Linked DNA regions of Struthio camelus. The protein of the gene in region 2 purifies or fractionates together with the protein of the main gene of each other region. This does not show direct contact. Links are inferred from orthologs where the notes say so. Each region holds a gene or a part of one and is shown on either strand. Other genes may lie near its edges.

What was found. The genes of interacting proteins can lie anywhere in the genome.
Region 1: the proteins of PTGFRN (region 2) and CD9 purify together in Homo sapiens (co-immunoprecipitation; 8 studies listed by BioGRID and IntAct, with this or other methods). This does not show direct contact. The link is inferred for Struthio camelus from reciprocal best matches to the Homo sapiens genes PTGFRN and CD9.

The regions. Positions count from the first base shown.
Region 1 is NC_090942.1:83,041,173-83,050,792, reverse strand, and holds the start of CD9 (CD9 antigen), read left to right. Parts: upstream 1-5,095; 5' UTR 5,096-5,351; coding exon 5,352-5,417; intron 5,418-9,620. UniProt on the Homo sapiens protein: Integral membrane protein associated with integrins, which regulates different processes, such as sperm-egg fusion, platelet activation and aggregation, and cell adhesion.
Region 2 is NC_090942.1:106,095,608-106,105,227, forward strand, and holds the start of PTGFRN (prostaglandin F2 receptor negative regulator), read left to right. Parts: upstream 1-4,853; 5' UTR 4,854-4,952; coding exon 4,953-5,001; intron 5,002-5,489; exon of another isoform or gene 5,490-8,023; intron 8,024-9,620. UniProt on the Homo sapiens protein: Inhibits the binding of prostaglandin F2-alpha (PGF2-alpha) to its specific FP receptor, by decreasing the receptor number rather than the affinity constant. Functional coupling with the prostaglandin F2-alpha receptor seems to occur.

The DNA of each region.
Region 1 (9,620 bases), about 23 Mb from region 2:
GGGCCACGTGGCATGAGTGTACCATTTTCTGATCAGTTCTGCTAATAGTCTGCGCTTACTACATACACTAGTGTGCTTGATATATATACTAGTGTTCACATTGTAATGGAAATCCCATTAAATGTATGCAGCTAGTTCCTCATCACTCCAGTAGAGTAAAAGCAATAAAGATGAGCCCTAGGGGAGTGGCCCTCAGAATAAATCCTGGGTGTTTTAAAAGCTGCATGTATATGACTTATTTCTTCCACTGGAAATACAGTATCTCTGTCTCATGCACTTCCAAAGCCAGGACCTTTTTCCAGCTCTTTTCACAAAAATGCTAAATGACCCTTGGTGGCCTGATTTTAGTCTGATTTTTAGTCTGATTTTAATCTGACTTTAACCAGCAGGGTTTGCCATGCAGAGCCACAGATGCTGCAGCACTGTGTTATACTAAGGGAGATGTGGCACTTCATGGGTACCTGTGCTCAAGGAAGCCCCTAACAGTGTGCACCTCAGTAGCAGCCTCAGCCTGTGGCTCCACTTGTGATCTTAAAATAGCCACACCTATACTGAGAGGTCTGACACACACGGACATCAAAATAGTAGTTAGATGAATCATAGTTACAGCTGCATATTGGTTACAGTCATGATTTCCAAAAAGGGATTTTGCAACTTTTCCTAGCTACCACATTTGTTACTACAAACACCTACTGTTTTCTAAAGTTTTGGGCCCTGGTCCTACAAATGCAAGACTGGTCACATATTGAAAATCAGATTTAAGCTTTAGTACCTGCAGGATCAGGGTCTTGAGTTTACAGAGAAGTTTAATGGAGTATAAATTTTGAAGAGGTATTAAATGACGGCATATATTAAATGATGTCAAATTGCTTTATTGAAATATTAAAGGGTAGAGAGATTATTTTTTGTAATCTATGACATGTAAAAAAGCATGAGTGATTTCTTTTTCCTTACTAGAACAAGAACACTTCCATATCCCTCCTTCCTGTAATGACCTACTTTTATCACAGCTAGTAGTAGGAATCTGATTAACTTGGAACTGACGCTTGTACTTTAACTGAAAGTTTAAATTTAAACAACTGAGAAAAAAAATATCTTTGCTTTTTATCCCATGCCAATACAGAGTTTGAAAATGATAAATAATTATGAAACAATTTCTTAAGAGTTCCTAAGTGCGCACAGAGATTTTCAAGTTGCACTCCTGACATTCTGACTCCTAATGTATTATACACAAAAGGTCTTGCACTAAATACTTGAAAAGATGTGCCTAAATCTCTTCTAATCTTATTCAAACCTTCCTTTTAAAAATTGAGTTTAAAAGTATGCAAAACAGAAAAGTTAAATATCTATCCGGCTTCAGGCCTTTACTTCTAGCTATACTTCCAGTGGTAGAGGAGGACCCAATTTCTAATGACATCTCATGGGGCTTTGTGGAGTCTTCAAAGCTCTTTTCTCACGTCAGAAGGCGGACAAACCTCCATGATGGACAGAATTGCTAAGAGCATGAGGTCATCCAGAAGGCAAGCTGCTATGGATACCAAAGTCCAAACGCTTTTCCTTCAGCTGTGAAAGAAGGACAGTGTTTTTGTCATTGTCTTACCAGGATGATTGATCCTATGAGCCAGTTTTGCAATGAAATGAAAATCCTGATGCTCCAGCTCAAAGACCAACCTCTGTCCCTCACAGCCCCAAAGGGAAAAACCAACAGGAAAACTTACATGTTACAACTCTCTCTCATGTATCACCCTACTCCAAATTATTGTAGCATTTAAAATAATAGAAATAAGTATCTTTAAAAATTGTCTGAAAGGAGTAGATCAGAAGAACTAACATACTTAAACTGAGGGGTACATGGATGTACTCAGGACTTCAAGGGGTAAAAGGAATTAGGAGGCCGCAGATCCCTACATTGCTGTCGTCTGGGTCATTGTAAACTCTCAGCTACATGACAGCAGAGAAGCTGTGCGGTTGTGCAGCCCCCTCTGCTCGCCTGATCGCTGCCTCCAGCCCTGGACAGAGCGTACCACAATCACAAGTTACAAAGCAAAAAAATTTCACTGAAGTTAAAAGGCAAACAAAACGGCCTTTTTTTCTTTCTTTTGTGACTGGCTTGAACAATAAGAGATGTTATTTTTCTACAAAGATGAAAATTGTTATTATTTTTCTACTCTGCTCTGCACTTCTCAAGAACCTCTGTTAATCTCTATCCTTCACTGAGGAAAGCTTTGCAGTCTGTCTCTCGGTGGTTAGAATCATCTGTGCCTGGATGTTGAAAGGAGCTGGAAGAAACATGTTAAAAAATCTGAAACTGTTTATGCAAAGAATATTAAAGGAATTGAGTTAGCGGACACAAGTCCTTCCATATATTCACAAAGGTAGACATAGGGGGAAAAGTGGTCAAGGAGGCTGCAAGACTGTGCGCGTCTGCAGTACTTACTAGTGGTTTCCAGTATCCTTTAATACAGGTGGCGAAGGAACCCTTTCTGTTTTCCCTCACTATTAATCAAAGGATCAAAGTTCTTTGGATAGCACAGCCTGAGGAGAAGGTGCTTTTCTGTGAGAAGCACACACTTTTTCACTAGTGGCACAGCAAGAATTAATTTGAATTTAGTTTCAAATTAAAATAGAAAAAAATAATTTGGGTTATCTGTAGATGAAAACTAAGTCAGCGTCCTGTCTAGATGATTAGAAAGGTAATTTTAAAGAGCTTCTGGTAAATTTGGACTTCTCCTTGACAGAAATGTCCTGAATTTGCCCTTCTCTGATACACTAGGAGAAAATAACACTTTAACCATCCATTATAATTTTAAGTGCAGATAATAAATGTGTAGTGCAAATTGTCTTGGCCTGTTCTCCCATGTAAATACAAGCTTTTAAAATAACAAATCATTACGAAATAATTTTATAATGGCCATAGATATCCAACAGTGATTTCTATTATACAGAAATTCAATTGATTACTATCTCATTCCAAAATGCTCAGAGAAGTTCAGATTACTTTCAGAGAGTAATGGCAGAACTACACGCTCAAAGGCTGAAATATGAATGTCCTCTCCTTACCCTCATAAAGAAAGAAAAAAAGGAGATAAGCATGGATTCTAACTCTTTCCATTCCATATCCTTAAGTTCAATTTATGTCACTTACATTACAGTTTTTTATTCAAACCCTAAAACATACCTCTCCTTTTAGTAATGCATTGCTAATAACTTTGAAGATGTAAAGACAAAAGATTGGGCTTTTCCCTCTCTGTATACAGTTTCTTACAAGTTTAGTCCAACCATTTGGATCATGAAACCTAATCAGTAATCAGGAAATAAACACAAAAAAACCCACACTGTTTGCTAGCAGTATCTTGCTATTCATACTAAAAACAAATACATCAGTTCCATCTTTTAATAAATTAATTTCCTGGGTGAGCAGGGAAACTTTGGATTTCAGTAAGTACAAACTCACAGGATGTTTTGATCCATCAGGTCCATTTCTTCTTCTAATCGAAAAGGTACCTACCACCCCTGATTTTCATGGGAGCCGCTTTAACACAGTGTAAGCATGAAAAGCTTAATAATATCATGGGTTTTTTTTTATCTAAAGCGCTCAAAAATTTTAGAAAGTTAAGAAAAGGAACATTACTGACATTGACTAGGAGGCATAAATTATTAATGGAGAAATTTTTAAAAGTGATATAGAAAATTAGTCACAGTCGAGAATGAAACACAGTACGTTCACTGACCATCTGTGTTTAGTCCATAGTTACCCCTGGAGAAGAGCTTTAGTCACCTCCATTTACTAATATCAGCCTTTCTGGATCTATACCGTTGTGGCCAGCCTCTACTTCTCCTTTGCCCGTTACTGACCTCCATAACAAACCCAAATGCTTTAGGTAGCGTTTTGTGAGGGGTTAAGTGGTATTTGTCCTTCTCTCGGGGTCAAGGTCGTGACCCTCTGTACTACATGGTCTTTTAATCAAAGGCCCTGAATCAGAGCAGCAGAAAGCTAAGAAGGCATCATTTAACATGACCCTGCTCCCCACTATCCTACCTTGGGACACTGGGGCCTTTGGGCCATTTTGGTTCTTAGCTACAGCCAAGCCTGATTCACAAACAACAATGCAGCAGCCTGCCATCTTTCCCCATGTACAGTTGTATGCGCTCTCTCTCTGAATTTCTCCTAGCTATGTATTTTTCTGTCTTGTTTTCTAATGGAAACATATCAATATTTTGCAACCTTCTCTGCAAAACTGATGTCCAATTCAATCCCTCCTCTACTGTATTAGCTCTGGAATGTATTTCACGTTATCATTTATTTTGGCAACAAAAGCATCAACATGTTTTTGTTTGCATTTCAGTGGCTTTTCTGTTTTTTTCTGTTCTGCTTTTTTTTTTTTTTTGACTCTCAATAACTTCTGTCATTACTTTAATAATGACAAATTGAGATATGGGCCCTCAGTTTTCATTACTACCCTAGTAAGAATCAGATGCCGAGGGCTGAACTTCCAATTCAAATCAATGCGAACTTCTCCACTGAAATTTACATTAATGTGTTTTGTCTCACAACCGGGTGAAATAAAGGCATACGCACAAACAGTTACTGTGGATCAGTTGACGGGCAGCAACATATCTTCTTCGCTGGTATAACCTCATCTTTCTAAATTCCATGCTCATAACTTTTACAGACGTATTTGAGAGATTAAAGCAGTTTACCTGTTAACTTTGTTGTTAAGTGTATCCTGCATGAGAAAGTTACCCATTGAAGCTGGGCTGAGGCATTTAAGTTTGTTTAACTAAATCCATGCAAGAATCGGCAAAGTATTGGCCTGCGTATCGTAGGGATGCGTCTACTTTTTGCACGTCTTTCCTTGTTTCATCACTGTCTGGTAGAGCAACTCTCGATGATGCGAGAACTATTTCCCCTGACTCCTCTGCCCTGCGCTCTGCCCCGCAGCAGCCCAGCGCGGGGGCGGCAGCAGCAGCGGCGGCGGCGGCAGCCCGGGGCCGGGAGCGCGGGACCGGGGGGCACCGCGGGGCGCGGAGCGGCGGGCTGGCAAAGGTGCCGGCGGGGCAGAGCAAGCCGGAGAGGCAGGTGAAAGGGCGGAGAGTGGACAAGGGAGGGCGAAATGCACAGCAGGGAAGGAGGGAGGGCCAAATGCTCCGGGAGGGAGGGCAAAGGCAGGGGCAGAGGGAGGAGAGGGGGCCGGGTTAAAGAGCAGGGGAGCCGGGGGAGGGGAAGCGGAGCGGGACCTGGCGAGAGGCAGATTTAAGGAGTGGCACTGTGGGAAAGTAGCCGCGCTGCGCCCCGTCCTCAGCTCGGAGCCCCGCTGCTGCTCGCTGCTTCTCCCCCGCCGGCCCGCAGGATGCCTGTGAAAGGAGGCACCAAGTGCATCAAGTACCTGCTCTTCGGCTTCAACTTCATTTTCTGGGTAAGGGGCCCCCGCCCGGCCCGACCCTGCCTCGCGGAGCCCTCCGGCGTGCCCGGGACAAGGGGTGTTTGCCCGCCCAGGGCTCGCCTCACGGAGCAAGGGGCTCCGGTTTCTCCTTGCCCCGACGTGTTTCCCTTGGGAAGGAGCCGTTTGCCCTGCGTCGCCTGCCTCTTCCCCCTTGCGCCCATGGGGTCCGGGGGGGGGGGGGGATAGGAGGGGTGACCCTGTGCAAGGGCTGGAGGGAGGGGAATTTCATTCCTCCCCTCCCCCGCCTCGCCTTGAGAGAACTAGGTGTTTTCCCCATTCCCCCCCCCCCCCGGGTGGGGGGGGTTTCCCTGCGCTCCCGCCCTGCCGAAGTTTTTCCCCGAGCGGCGGCCTGGTGTGGCGTGGCGCGGCGTGCGCCCGGAGCCGCGCAGCCCGGTGCCGGGGCAGCGGTGTGGGGAGGGGTGGGGGGGTGCTGCTGCCGCCTTGACGCCTCGACGCCCCGGGTCTTGCCCCGCGGGCGCGGCGGCTGCGGCGGGCAGCGGGCTGGCGGCGCGCCCGCGGGCGGCTCTCCCTCCCGCTCCGGGGGCAGGTCCGCCCGCCGCCCCGGGGCGCGCTGCGCGCCTCTCTGCCGCTGCCCCCGCGCCGTCGGTGAGCCCCGCTGCCAGGGGCCGGGCCGGGCCGGGCCGCCGGCCAGGTGCTGGTTACCTGCCCGCGGCGGCGGTGCAGACAAACGCCCACGCAGTCAGGTGGCGGCGAAGGCCGGGGAGTTTCCCTGCCTCGCGATTAAAGGCGGCCGGGCGGCTGTGGAAGTGCAGGAGGATCTAGCGAAGCTGCTGCTGTGTCTCATGTGCTCAATAATATGATGTGTATATTGCGGTTATGATATCTAGCGTGGTACGTTCAGCAAGAGGCATTCGAATAAGATGCATACCCAGCTCGTTACTCTTTTAAAACTTCCCTTCCTAGACCCATAGGCAGAAAATCCTTTTATCAGACTGTGTATCCTCCCTGTTGATGTGTCTGAGGAGGGCGGAGGGGGGGAAATGCGGCAGTTGAAGGTAGTTTTTCGGGTTTTTTTTTCCCTCGCAGCAGCATATACAACACTTGCACAGAAACTCTCCTTGAGTTTAACTTGCTCGCAAAGCTGAAGTCTTTTTAGGTGAGCAGGCTATGGCAAGGGGTGGTGAACTAGCTATGTGCAAATTGGAGCTTGTGATCATGATCGTCTTACTCGTCTTGGTGGGAACTTCAGCTAAAGCTGTAGCTGCTGCCTCGAATCTTGTAGGAAACATTTCCTAAAGAAAGTCCTAAAATAGCTTAATCTGAAGAGCACGACACAGCAAGTGAAAGCTGTCTTGAGTGTAGTTTCTGGCATGGCTACCTCTAGTCAGCTATGCCATGTCAGGAAGCATGGCATAATTAAGAAGTTGTCTGTTTCCCCAAGTACTTTGAGAAGCGGCCACATCTGAATTTAATATTGTCTGCTTTGTGGAAAAAGGCCAAAGGGAATGCAATAGAGCACTGCATGCATAACTTCTAGATGTGAAGTGTGAGCTCAAAGGGAATTACTTCTAGGAGCAGGTGGGTTTTGAGGGTGTGTTGTTTTTTGGGTTGTTCTCTTTCTCCCTCTCCCCCCCCCCTTTTTAAGTTATTTTCCTCTAGGCTATCTCCTTCAGGGATAAATGCAGTATGCGTGTGTGTTTTCTACACCCACTTACCCTGCAATATGGAGAAATGAGTTTAGAGCTGTGTAAAGAAAATCCTTCTGTGGTCAGTAGCAGTGCTGCACATGGGATGATTGCAGGTACAGTGTTAATGGATAAAGTGCTCTGATCTCCTAAGCTAAAAATTGGTTTCAGTAGAGTGTGAAGATGGATTCAGGCTGCAGTTGAGGGAAAGCAAGGGAACTTGCATGGGGAAACTTTACAAGGACACAGAAAGTATTTCCATCCTAGACTCACCAAACTTTAAATAGGTATTGGGAGAGGAAAGTCCTCATATTTGGAGGAGGATGACTGATAAGGGAAAAACCATCTAACAGTGCACTGGATGAAACTTTTGGATGCCTTGCATGTTGTAAACATGTCTTAGCTTTAGTGTCATCTCTCAGACTTCTAAATTAATTTGCGGTGCTGGTACTTGCAGCTGAATCAAGTGCTACTTTTGCTGTAATCAATTTTGAAATACCAGGTCACTTAGGCAGTTTAAGTACATGTTTGTTATCCTGAAACATAAGAAAAATACAAGTAATCTGTGTAGCTTTTGATATTGTATTTATCTCAATGAGGTGCTAAACTTAACCTTGTTGAAACCTGAGAAAACAGCTTGACCGTGGAGCAGACCTGTTGCTGAAGCTCTTCCTTGAGCAAAGTGGCCGCTGCTCCCAGCAGCGGGTGGGCTGCGCTGGCTGTGTTAGCTTCTTAAACTGAATGAGAACAGGGCAAAAAGGAAGAGGGCAAAAAAGAGGCCCCATAAGAGTAATAAAAGGGGGATTAATACTTGTTCCTCTAAGTATCCTGACAAGCAGCGGAAACATCAATAGATAATAAATGTAAAACACCTAGGATCTTTCAGGGATAAATACATATGTAGAGCAGCTGTGACTTACAGTAGTAGTCCTTGGTTTTCAGGGCTCATTACATGTATGTATGTGCTTTACAGAAACTACTGAAGGGGCTTTTCAAGTGCAATGTTAAAGTGAACCTCATACCTCTGTTTTATTTATCTATAGAGGATATCTTAGATTCTTTTAAACTGTTAGGCTTCTGCAAACAGGTTTTTAGAGTGGGGGGGGAGAAGAAAAAAGGAGGGGAAAAAAAAAAAACTCTCTTGGGGCAGGCAGCAGCCTGTGGGGGGAACAACTCTACTGAGAAACAAGGCTTTACCTCTTCCCATGAGCAGGCTTCATATAGCATAGGAGAGGTGAAGAGCCAATTCCATGTAAATTGGGCAAAAATGTCATTTCAGAGTGTAATTCTACACTTAAATTTGAAGGTGTAATCAGCAACTGTCTCAGGGGCAGCTAGCTAGGGAACCCCCAAGAGAAGTAAGTAGCTCAAAGGTCTGAGTCTCCTTGTCCTAGAGCCTACTCTGCAATGGTGATAATGATTTGTTTGGATTCAGTTTGCTGCCTGAAACAACAGAAAGCAAAGGATTCAGTGCACTTCTGATTACATTTACATAGTACTCTTTTTTTTTTTTTTAAATAAATTGCCTCAAAAAGACAGGTGAAGAGTTTAAACAGTCTGCTGCAAACCTGTGAGTGTTTACAGGTAGCATATTAGGTGGCATATATTTGCTGTGTGCTTCCATCAAGACTTGAGGACAAAAGGAAGCGGGAAGAGCAAAACGACTGGGTATAGAAGGTTATTAAAATGAAATAAAGGACACCTTCAGAAGTTGTTGAAGCTGTATCCAAATGAAGAAAATAGAAAGAATCATAAATACTGGCAGGCCAAATTTAAGGAAAAAAAAAAAACCTACAATAAAGCATGCCAAAGGAAGAGCTTTAGTTAGAATTACTTCTGCAAGTTACTCCTAATAAACCCCTCTCTGGACACACTAGAACCAGGATGCTTGCCAGAGAGGCAGTAGTCAGTCCAGGTGTGTGTGAAAGAGCGTTAAAAGAGAAGTTCACAGACACACTAAGAAAAAGAAAATTCTGCTGGAAGATCTTCTGGGAAAATCCTGGGCTGTGACATGTCTTTGACTCCGAGTCCCTCACAGCCTTGAATTGACCTCTTGACAAATAGGTTGTGACATGTCAGAAAATGTGTGATCCTGGCAAGCTGCTAATCCCCAGTAGTTACTTGAGGACAGTGAAGGATGAAATACATTGATGAGGTAATGCCTTAGGCTTGCCACCCACCTTGGCACCGGAGAGGAGTGTGGCAAACCTGATGCTGGGAGTGTGGGGGATGCACTCATGTCTGTTCTTGGTGGAGTGTTGGAGGCAGTACCGCCGCAAGGGCAGATAGAGAGAGGATCTCCCTCACAGTGGAGAGGACCAGCATGAGTGAACTGGGTGGTCATCTATATTTGTACTTAATTTGGAAGAGCTTGCAAGTAGTGAGGTAACACTTTGTGAGGGTGGCATCCATTACTCAAAGCAGTAAAGATGAGTGCATAGGGAAATAGCAGGGCTCAAAGCGGTTGTATGACAAAATAGAACGTGAAGTCCACTGTTGGTAGAAATCAAGTAATGTGTATGAAGAGTGG
Region 2 (9,620 bases):
AACAGATCAATAGAGACAGGTTTTAATACATAACGGGTAAGCCGAGTTTTTCACAATTCTTTGTGAGCTCTCTGCTTTTCCTCGTATATCTGTTCAGCTCCTGAGATTGGAATGACAGGGGGGCATATCTTTTCCATCCAGGTATGCTTGGAAGCATTTCACAAAACCAACTGTACAGCTTAGATGGTGTAGGGATCCCAGCAGCCACGACTGCAATGGGGCAGCCTCTTGCCTGCGACATGGAAGCTGTTTAACAGAGCAAGGCAAAATTTAACAGGAGTTGAGGAAAGGAAATGAAGAAGAGCATTATACTCGCTTCAAAATACAAAGGGAACCTAGAGGCTCAATGAAACCAACCAATGTGAGTTTGGCTAGCACACCTCTTCAGAAAAAGATCTTTAATGAGCTACCGAACCCAAGACAACACATCTACACGTAAATATCTCCAGGACAACGTTTGCACTGCAGTTCCCTTTCCCCTGGGCTCTCATGCAAGCAGTTCGGAAGCAGCTGACAGTCTCTGTCCTGCCCTTAAGCAGCTGAGCACGGCCACATCTGTCTGTCTGTCTGTCTGCCTGTCCCTCTCTCCTGTTGCAGAGATCCGATGGCCACCACACACTAGGAGCAAGGGGCCTCTCGAAGCTGAGGCAATAAGACCGAAAGATTGCTCCCCTGCCTAAGGTCTACAGGCAGCAACTTGCACTGCGCGCAACTTGCACCTTCCAGCCACTGCCCCCAAACAGGGTGCTGGGTGCTTGTCTGGAGGAGCCTTCTGAGGGGCTATCTGAGATGTGTGGGACTGTTAAATGCTGCTCACGCTTGCACCCTGCGCAGGCCTGCTCTCCTTTGCCCTCTGCTGCCCAGGGAATGAGCTGGACAGACAAAACAAGTTGTTTGTCCACGTTTGTCATGAGAGAAACTCCACAAAAACCTGGCCAAGTAGGTGTTGACGGAGTGCCGCAAGTAGGGAGGGTTTGCACGTGGGTTTCTTCAGGATCTGTGCGTGTTCATGTTCATATGCTTACACGTATGCATGTTGTTTAATACAACCCTTCAATCTGGATCTTTACCGGAGATTCGGCTGGTTAATCTAGTCACCCCAAAACGAGCGATGCCTTCAGCCAAGGCATTGTGCAGAAATCTAGTACAAAGAAATGTAGGCAAACTTTTCCGCAGCATCATGAATAAAGCATACAGTATCTACCCAACAACAACAACGTGCTAAACTCTGAAAGTCAAACTGGATGCCTTCCTGAGAAACAAACAACTGACCACATATTTACTTTGCGTCTCATAAATAAATATGGAGAAAACACAAAAACAGAAGAAGATATTTGTCTCTGCTTTATACTCGGAGAAAGCTTTTGACTCAGTCTGGCTTCCACGGCTGAACTATACAAAATGGAATTGGCAAGGGGAAAAAATGACATAATCACATACATGTAACAATCCATTGAAAGTAGGACACAGAAAAAAGAGAAGAAAATGGGCTTTGAAGCAAGAAGGTAGACTAACAGTGTGGTCAACTTGGGCCCTGTTGTTTCGGGCACCTGCACTGGTGATTTATCAACCGCAGAGGAATAGTTACCAAATTGAATGAGGGATCTCAAACATCTGCTTAAACTGTCACAGAGTTATGAAATGTATTTGAACACAGTTCACTGCAAGGCCATGTAGTGAAAAAGAAAGAACATCACTGATGAATGGCAGGATAAAGGTGCGGTCTTGGAAAACAGAGATGCAGAAAGAGACTTGGATATTCAACATGACAACGCCCTCCGCACAAGTTCTTTGTGCAGTGTTGATAGTTAAAGGTCTAATTCCATTTCTAGAGGTGTGAGAAGGGGAATACCAGGTAAAGAGAAGGAAGTGACTTTGTCTCTGTGCGCTGCACGTGTGTATAGACACAGGTGCCCAGGTGTCAAAAGGTATTTAGAAATATGGGAGAGTCTGAAAAATGCTACAGGGGTCAGAAACCAAATCTTATAATGTGAGGCTTCACAGAAAACAACCTATTCAGTTTAGCAAGGTGAGCTGACTGTGTATAGTTACTTATCCGTGAAAATGGGATGAGTGTTCAGTTTCGTAGACAAAGTCATAACAAGTTCTGATGTCTAGAAGTTGGACAAATTCAACCTTGAAAGAAGCAATTTTCTAGCAGTAAGGATAATTAAACACTGGAATAAATTAGTAGGTGGGGTGAGGCACTCAACACTACTTGGAATCTTAAGACAAGATGTGTTGTCTTTCAAACAAACTCACTTTGATCCAGCGCTGGGAAAAATTTCTATGGCTTGTAAATACAGGTCAGATTAACTGATTACATGGCCCCTTCTGTCTAGAAGTCTGAGTATTATGGGGAGGAAAATGGTTCCTACTAAACACTAAGTGAACAAGTCAGTTTACACTTGAGGATACTGCACACCACAGCTCAGAGTTTTACCTGTATTTTTCACCAATTAACAATGCAAAGCAATGGTGAAGTAGACCCCTGTATCCAACTTTGACCGTGAATGCACTGGCAAATTCCAAGCTGGGCAGTCATAAGGAAAAGCTTTCCAATGACATAAGGAAAATAAAATTAAGTCGATCTCTTGGAGAAAGTTACTGCTTGTAACTGTTCAGCAGTTTAATTCAGGTCTTGAATTGGTAATCCTAAACGGGCAACAGACCACAGGAAATACAAAGCACAGAGCAAACAGGAGCCGGGGCTCCTGCAAATACAGCGGGCTTGTGCATACAGTGAACTTTACATCCATGACTACATTTATACGTACCTATTACCATCACTGGCACAAGGCTGGAGAGGCACAAGGGGATTTATTTTCAGGGCTGAAGTTTGATGAAGCCTCAGTAGTTTAACCAGAATGACACAGGCATACGAGTAAGGGGGAGAGATCTTCTCATCTGTTTTCCGAATGTGAAGTAAGTGACATGTCTTGGTTCACAGAAGTGATGTTTTTCAGTGAGGAAAAAAGTTTAGAAGAAAATGTATTTGAATGCTGGCCAAAGAAGGAGATAGAGCAGAAAAATCACAAACAGGCAGCAAGAGCAAACGGGCCTAGGAGGATACTGTAGACCTAGATGCAGTCGGTCCTATTTTGTTGGGGAAACCCTTTCTCAATCAGGCCTGAATTTGGTCTTGTTTTCAGTTTGGAAGTTAGCAGAGCTTATGTCCCAACAGGGCCGAGTCCCCAGGTAGCCCACAGCTCCGGCTTTGCAAAGGTACCTGACGTGTTCAGGTAATCGTGGCTGCAGGGCCAAAGTGTTCCTAATCAAGGGTCTGGCTTCAATCGTATCGGTTAACACCCTCTCCTCGGCAGCCAAGCATTAGAAGATAACAAAGTCCAATCTAAAATCCGCTCTGGTAGTCGTTCTCAGTTATGAAGGCAGTACTTACTTCCTGCTAATGGAAGCAAACAACCTCACCCGAAGCAGGGCATGCCAGGTGTGTGGAGATGCCGAAACACAGCCAAAACCAGCACACACGCCGCAGGAGGAGCAGCTCCAAACCCCGTGAGGGCCGCGGAGACCATCCATGTTGCGAAACGTGTAACATGGAGCTAGCTCCACCAAACAACAGAAAATCGGGTAGCCTAAAGGAAACTGGGGGAGTTACAGAGCAAAAAACACAAATGCACACAGGGAGAGCGCCAAATTTGCAGTTAATGTGGTGAGGGGATTGAGACGACAGATACTGTCCAGATGACTAGAGAGCACGCAAGCTCCTCAATTCTCTGTTTTTGCAAACAAACAGGAAATTAAATCTCCGAGCAAACAAAAACCTCTGCAGCCAGACCAGGAAGGACAGCGGCGGTGGCACTAATGCTGCAGCCTGTCACTGAATTAAGAAGGGACGCAGGCAGCGAAGGAGAAACCGCAACCACCACGTGCCTGCAGCGAGGTGTCGAGCGATGGCCCCTTCCCAACGCAACACCCACGGCCGTGGCGCCTGCAGCAGCAGCAGGCACTCGCCGTGGCGGCGAGCGCCGCTGGCCGGACTGCGCCAAGGAGCGGGCAGGGGACAGGGCAGCCCCCGCGCTGAGGCCGGCGGCTGCGTGGGGACAGGAGACACGGGTGGGACCCAAGTATCTGCGGGAGGGGGGCGGTGCAGGCAGCAGGAGTGTTACCACGGTGGTTGCGGTTTGGGAGATTGCGTGCGTGAGGGGGAAGGAAACCGGAGCGGAGCCTGGAGTCAGGGGGTGCGTGGCTGGGCGGGTGGGGGGGAAGGCCGCCTTTGGGGTTTGCGTGCGTGGGCAGCGGGGTACCTCCGCCGGGGGGTGTGTGTGTGTGCCTGTGTCCTGGGGGGCGGGAGAGCCGGGGGGGAGCCCCGTTTGGGGGGCAGAGGGCAGAAGCGAGCCCCATCTCCGTGTGACTGGGGGGGGGGGTTGCCAGCGCCAGGGCGGGGCTCCGCGCGGCGCCCAACGGCCGCGGGGGCGCCCAACGGCCGCTGCCGAGGGGGCCCCGCCCCGCCCCGCCGCGCGCCTCCCGCCTCCCCCCCTGCCGGGCGCGGGGCTCCGGCGGCCACGTGTGTGCGGAGGCAGCGGCCCCCGGCCGGGGAGCGGCGGCGGCACCGCCCTGCCCGCAGCGCGGCTCGGCTCGGCTCGGCTCGGCTCGGCTCGGCAGGGGGCTCCCCCCCCCCTCGGCTGTCGGCGGACGGGCCGGCGGCGCCTTCTCTCCTCCCCTTTCAGGGGGTGGGGGCCGGGCCGGGCCGGACCCCCGCGCCGCCCCGCTACCTGCGGGCGGGGGCGCGCGCGGGGGCGGGCGCTGGGGAAAGTTTGTGTCTGTGGTTGGCTGCGCGGCGCGGCGTGGCCGGTCGGGGCGGGCGGGCGGGTAGCTCCGTGCAGCTCGCAGGGCAGCGGGAAGGCGAGCGGCCGGTCGGCGGGGAGCGCGCAGCCGCCGGGCCCCGGGCGAGGCGAGAGGCACGCGGCGGGGCGGGGGGTCCGGCCAACATGGGGCGCCGCGGGGAGCGGGCGCCCTTCCTCCTCCTCCTGCTGCTCGGTGAGCCCGGGGGTGCGCGGCCGGGGGCGGGGGGGGGGGGAGGAGGAGGAGGAGGAGGGGGTCGGGCGTTTGCCCGCGGCCGCCTCGCCGGCAGGTAGCGGGTAAGGGCAGGGCAGGGCAGGGCGGGTCGTCGCCCGCGGGCCCAGCCCCGGCCGCGGGGCGGCCTCAGGCGGGAGGGGCCGCCCGTGGAGCCGCCTGAGGCGCGGCGGAGCCCCTCGAGGGGCCGGCGGGTGGCGGGGCCGCCCCGCCGTGCTGCGCCGCGCCGTGCCCGGCGGCCGTTTGTCAGCCGCCGCCCGGCCCGGCTGCGGCCGTTAACGGCTGGCGGCGCCCTATGGGGCTGGCGAGCCGGGGCCGGGGCGGTGCGAATGCGGCTGTTTTTCTCCCCGAAACTTTAGAGGGCCGCTAACGAGCAGAAATGGGGAGGGGATGCTACTTCGTGTGGCGTGTGGTCGCCTTGCGGAAGGGGCCTGCGCAGGAGGTCAGGGTGGTTCGGGGTGTCGGGCTCTGTACGGAGGTGGGGTGATGCTGGCAGTATGGCAGTAGTTGCTCTTATGTGACCTGGTGTATTGGGTGCCCTGTCTTTAGGGCGAGCGTAACGAGATCTCACGTTGCAGAGCACGAAGTGACTCATTTCAAGGGTTAGGAGGTGATCCCTCTCCTGTATGTTCCTCAAGTGAAATAACAGGAGGGGTCTCTGAAACCAGGGACAGGGACAGAAACCTGGACTGTGGTCACACAGGTGTTTCTCGGTAATGCTAGTACTTCTGTGCCCTTTTCCCTGCTCTTCCCCCACTGGGTTTGCTACCTCTGCTGTGAAGTGCCTGTGTTACATGATAACAAATATCGAGTAGTTGACATTATGCTATGTTCAAATAGTTGTGTAGTTGACATTAGATTAACATGTGGTAGTGCTCTTTACCACTGTCAGTTCCAGACGAGCAGCGTGCGGGAATAAATACTGGGGGCTCTTCAGAGCAAGAACTATGCAGAAGGGGGTGGGGGGGACAATATTTTTAGTGCATTCGTTTTGTTTTGCAAAGGAATGCTGGACACATAGCAATGTTGCTAACGGTGTTACTGAAGTAGTAGTGTATATAACCAGAGAACAAGATTGTCCAGGTAAGATAATTATGTGCAGTATTTAAATGGTGCTGTGTCAGCTCTGTGCAGTGAGAAGTACTGGAGGTGTTGGTAAGCGAGCATAGCCCACAAATTGTTATGTGCAGTTGTTGAACCAGGCCACTTGGCTAATTGCAGGTAGTAAATGGGAACCTTTTCCAGATTTGAGGTGGAAGGAGTGAGCAACCAAGCAGTCTCTTCCCGCCTTCCTCCCCTCACCCCCAAGAAACCCGTTCTGCAACACTTTCATTTAAACAAAGCCATATTAGCTAACCTAGTTTGGCCTTTTAATTCTGACATTGCTATGGCTAATTTTCCTTTAAACTCTGCGCTTTTCTTCATGGTTTGGCTGTTGAACCTTTCACAGAAAGATCTGCAGCACAGATAGTTAAAATTGAAAAATCAGCTTTCCAAATCTGGACTTGTACCAGTCTACTTCCTGAGGCTACTTAGAGGCAGTGAGGAAATCAGGATGGGGGATGTATATGCAAAAGTCAAGACCCTACCACACAGAGTGCTTTCTCTTACTTGCAGTCGAGGTTAGTAATCTCATTTCTCTTCACGATATAGGCATTTTGCGAGCTGGGAGAACAGTGAAGACCTGGAGAGAACACCTTTAACATTTCCTTAGAAACAGAAAGGGAATACAGTTTTTTCAATAGAATGGTTTAGTAGGACAAGTTGAAAATCAGGTCTCGCAGATACTGATTTTTACTTTTTGCTGCTTGACCTTGAGCACTTTCAGGATGAGATGCAACAGGAAAGTGTTGTGTTCTTCTTTCCAGACCAAAGAATTATAGGAACTTAAAATGTGCATATACAGATATTAGGCCACTGTTTGTGGTACAGTTTGTCTGAATGTTCTGGATTGCCTCCTGGGGATTTTTTTTTAAATCCAAATTGTGATATTCAAGTTAAAAGTGCTCTTGTGTCAGGTGGGAGGAAATTTTCAGTACTGCTTGAGATGTGTGTTGTGGTGTGGCTGTCTTCTGACAAGGTGGTCTTCCTTTCACTCTGGATGGGGGAAAAATGTGCTTCTGTTAAGGTGCATTTTCTAGCAGCTCTTTAACAGAGAGGCAGGATTTTTTAACTGATGCACTACAAGCATTCAGGAATTTTGTGTAAGCAAGGTGGCGAGAGGAGCTGAAGCACAGAAAAGTTCATCCCTTGCGTGTACTTACGCTTAATTGCTTTGTTCAGATCTTCACAAAATAACCCAGCAAAGGATACAAATGCCTAAAGTGCTTGTCAGTGACAGATAAGAATGTTTTCTCCTCCTTTCTCCTGGATCCAGTATAGTTGTTACCAAAGAGATCTGTTAGTGCCAGTCATGTTGGTAAGAAGATGGTGGAGCCTGGGTTTAAGGCTTGATCTAGTCCCTCTTTTCTTCCCTCCTCTGGTGTGGTTAGATCATGATGACGGAGAGCAGCATGAGGGAAATTTGCACTACCATTGCCTGTTTTAGGTGTAATTTCATTATGCAGTCAACCTACATCATCAACTTGTGAAATGCTCAGGAAACCAAAATATCCTTCCTTGGACAAGACTTTGAAAAAACAAAGCAGTTACCTGGTGATTACCAAGGCTCGGGGAGGAGGGGGGAGGAACACACTGTCACAGGGAAAACAGTAAGCCTTGCGGCAACTCGATTTTTTTTTTTTTCTGTTCCTGTTTGAGATTCAAGGTAAGAATTTAAATGTAACTGAGAAAACGCTGGCTTTTGTTTATGTGCTATGGGACTTGAGGAGAGCAGGCACTCAGCAGATCTTGGGGGAAAGGCACTGATGATGTGTTTCTAGAAGTGACCTTTTTCTTATTATCAGTCAGGCCTGTGTGACGCCCTCTGTCCACTCTGATGACAGCCAGCTCCAGCACTCCAGATCCCCAGATGCCACGCGTATAGGTGAATAGGATTATTTCCTATCACTTGTATCTGAAATTCTTTAGATTTTAGAGTGGTTTTTTTTTAATTTTCTTCGGAAGCTACAACAATTAGTCATTTGAATCAAGGTTTATTTCAGGCTCTGCAATAGAAAGCTTTTGGCAATTAGTAGAAGTTATTGCAATCTTGAACTTCAAGGAAACGTGTGCTTTATTCTTTCTCCACGTTTGCAGTTTATGGGAAAGCATTAGGCAGTTAAAGAGCCTTAAGGTGTGAGGCAGGGAGATGGTATAACGATGAGTGCCCAAGCAGCTTTCAAGGTGTGTTACAGTGGAATCTGCTTCCTGTTTCCCTTACTGGTGTCTGGACACCTGCCAGGGAGCTCGTTACTGCTATTGCAGGTGGCCTTTGCCTTCCTTCTCTTGGAAGAAAGCAGACTCATGTCCTCACTAGTACTTGGAGAAGCAGCAGTCAGCTAGACCTGTGTATCTCTGTAGCTTTGGAGGTGGTTAAAAAGGTTCCCAGAGGGGAAATACCAACAAACCTGTCCTGATCTTAGCAGCTGCTGGCTGCTAAGGTGGTAAAAGCATGTACTGAATGTTGGAAATTGGCTGGTAAAGCACTGGAAGGCAGGTGGTGTTCCTGAGGAGGAAGCATTTTCCGTGTGGTTTTGCCATACTGTTCTATTTTCATAGGATGTAGACTCTAGGAAGATGTGAGACTTCAAGAAAGAGGGTTATAGGGAGTGGTTTTCCCTCTGCATCCCATGTTCTTCCTGGTTTGTGAAAGATAACTTAGTCACCCTTTCTGGCTCTCGTGGCGTCTTTGTAGGTTCTTCTCCAAGGCCACTCTTTCGATGTGGCCAGCACAGGTGCTTTTTCTGAAATTTCTTGTCCTTGTTCTCCAGGTTTCTTGATTGCTACACTTCAACATAGCAGCAGCTTGTGCTTTCAGCAGCCTCTGTTGTATTTGGCTTCAGTCCCTGAACTGAGGTATAAACCTGCCTGAACAAGATTTAAAGTAAGCAGTAGGGGTCATTCAAAAATGCAGTCACATGCTTGAATAGAAGAGAACTTTAAAAAAAAAAAAAAGATAACTAAACAAACAAGGAAAACAACAGGGACATCTGAGATTCCAGCTTTCACATCTAATAAATCTATGGGATTGTGTGGCTTTGGGGGCCTTTTTTATTTTATTTTATTTTTTTAACTTAGCTCAGATAATGTGGTTTTGCTCTCCGTAATCCTTGTCAATCACTAACCTGCAAAACGGGTCTGGATATTGTCTTAGTGAAGGAGTTACATATTGAATAAGATACTTTTAGAAAGTAAACGTTTCAGTTATCTCTTTTGAGATGACTTTCAGTGATAACATTTTTGTGTGTGAAATCCTGTATTTTAAGAGGAAGGGAAGAGGATAGATTATCAGAAAATGAGAAGTCTTTCTGACCTGTATGGAAATCAACCACCTGAAGGTTAAGTTGGAAAGGACTTGAGGAAAACAGTACTAAAGCTAACTGTAGGGTAAGTAAGGGTTATACTAGTGTATCTCAAGGTCTCTAGTATTCTTGGAAGAAAGGTATTAGATGGAGTATAAAGTAAGTGTATGTATTATAATA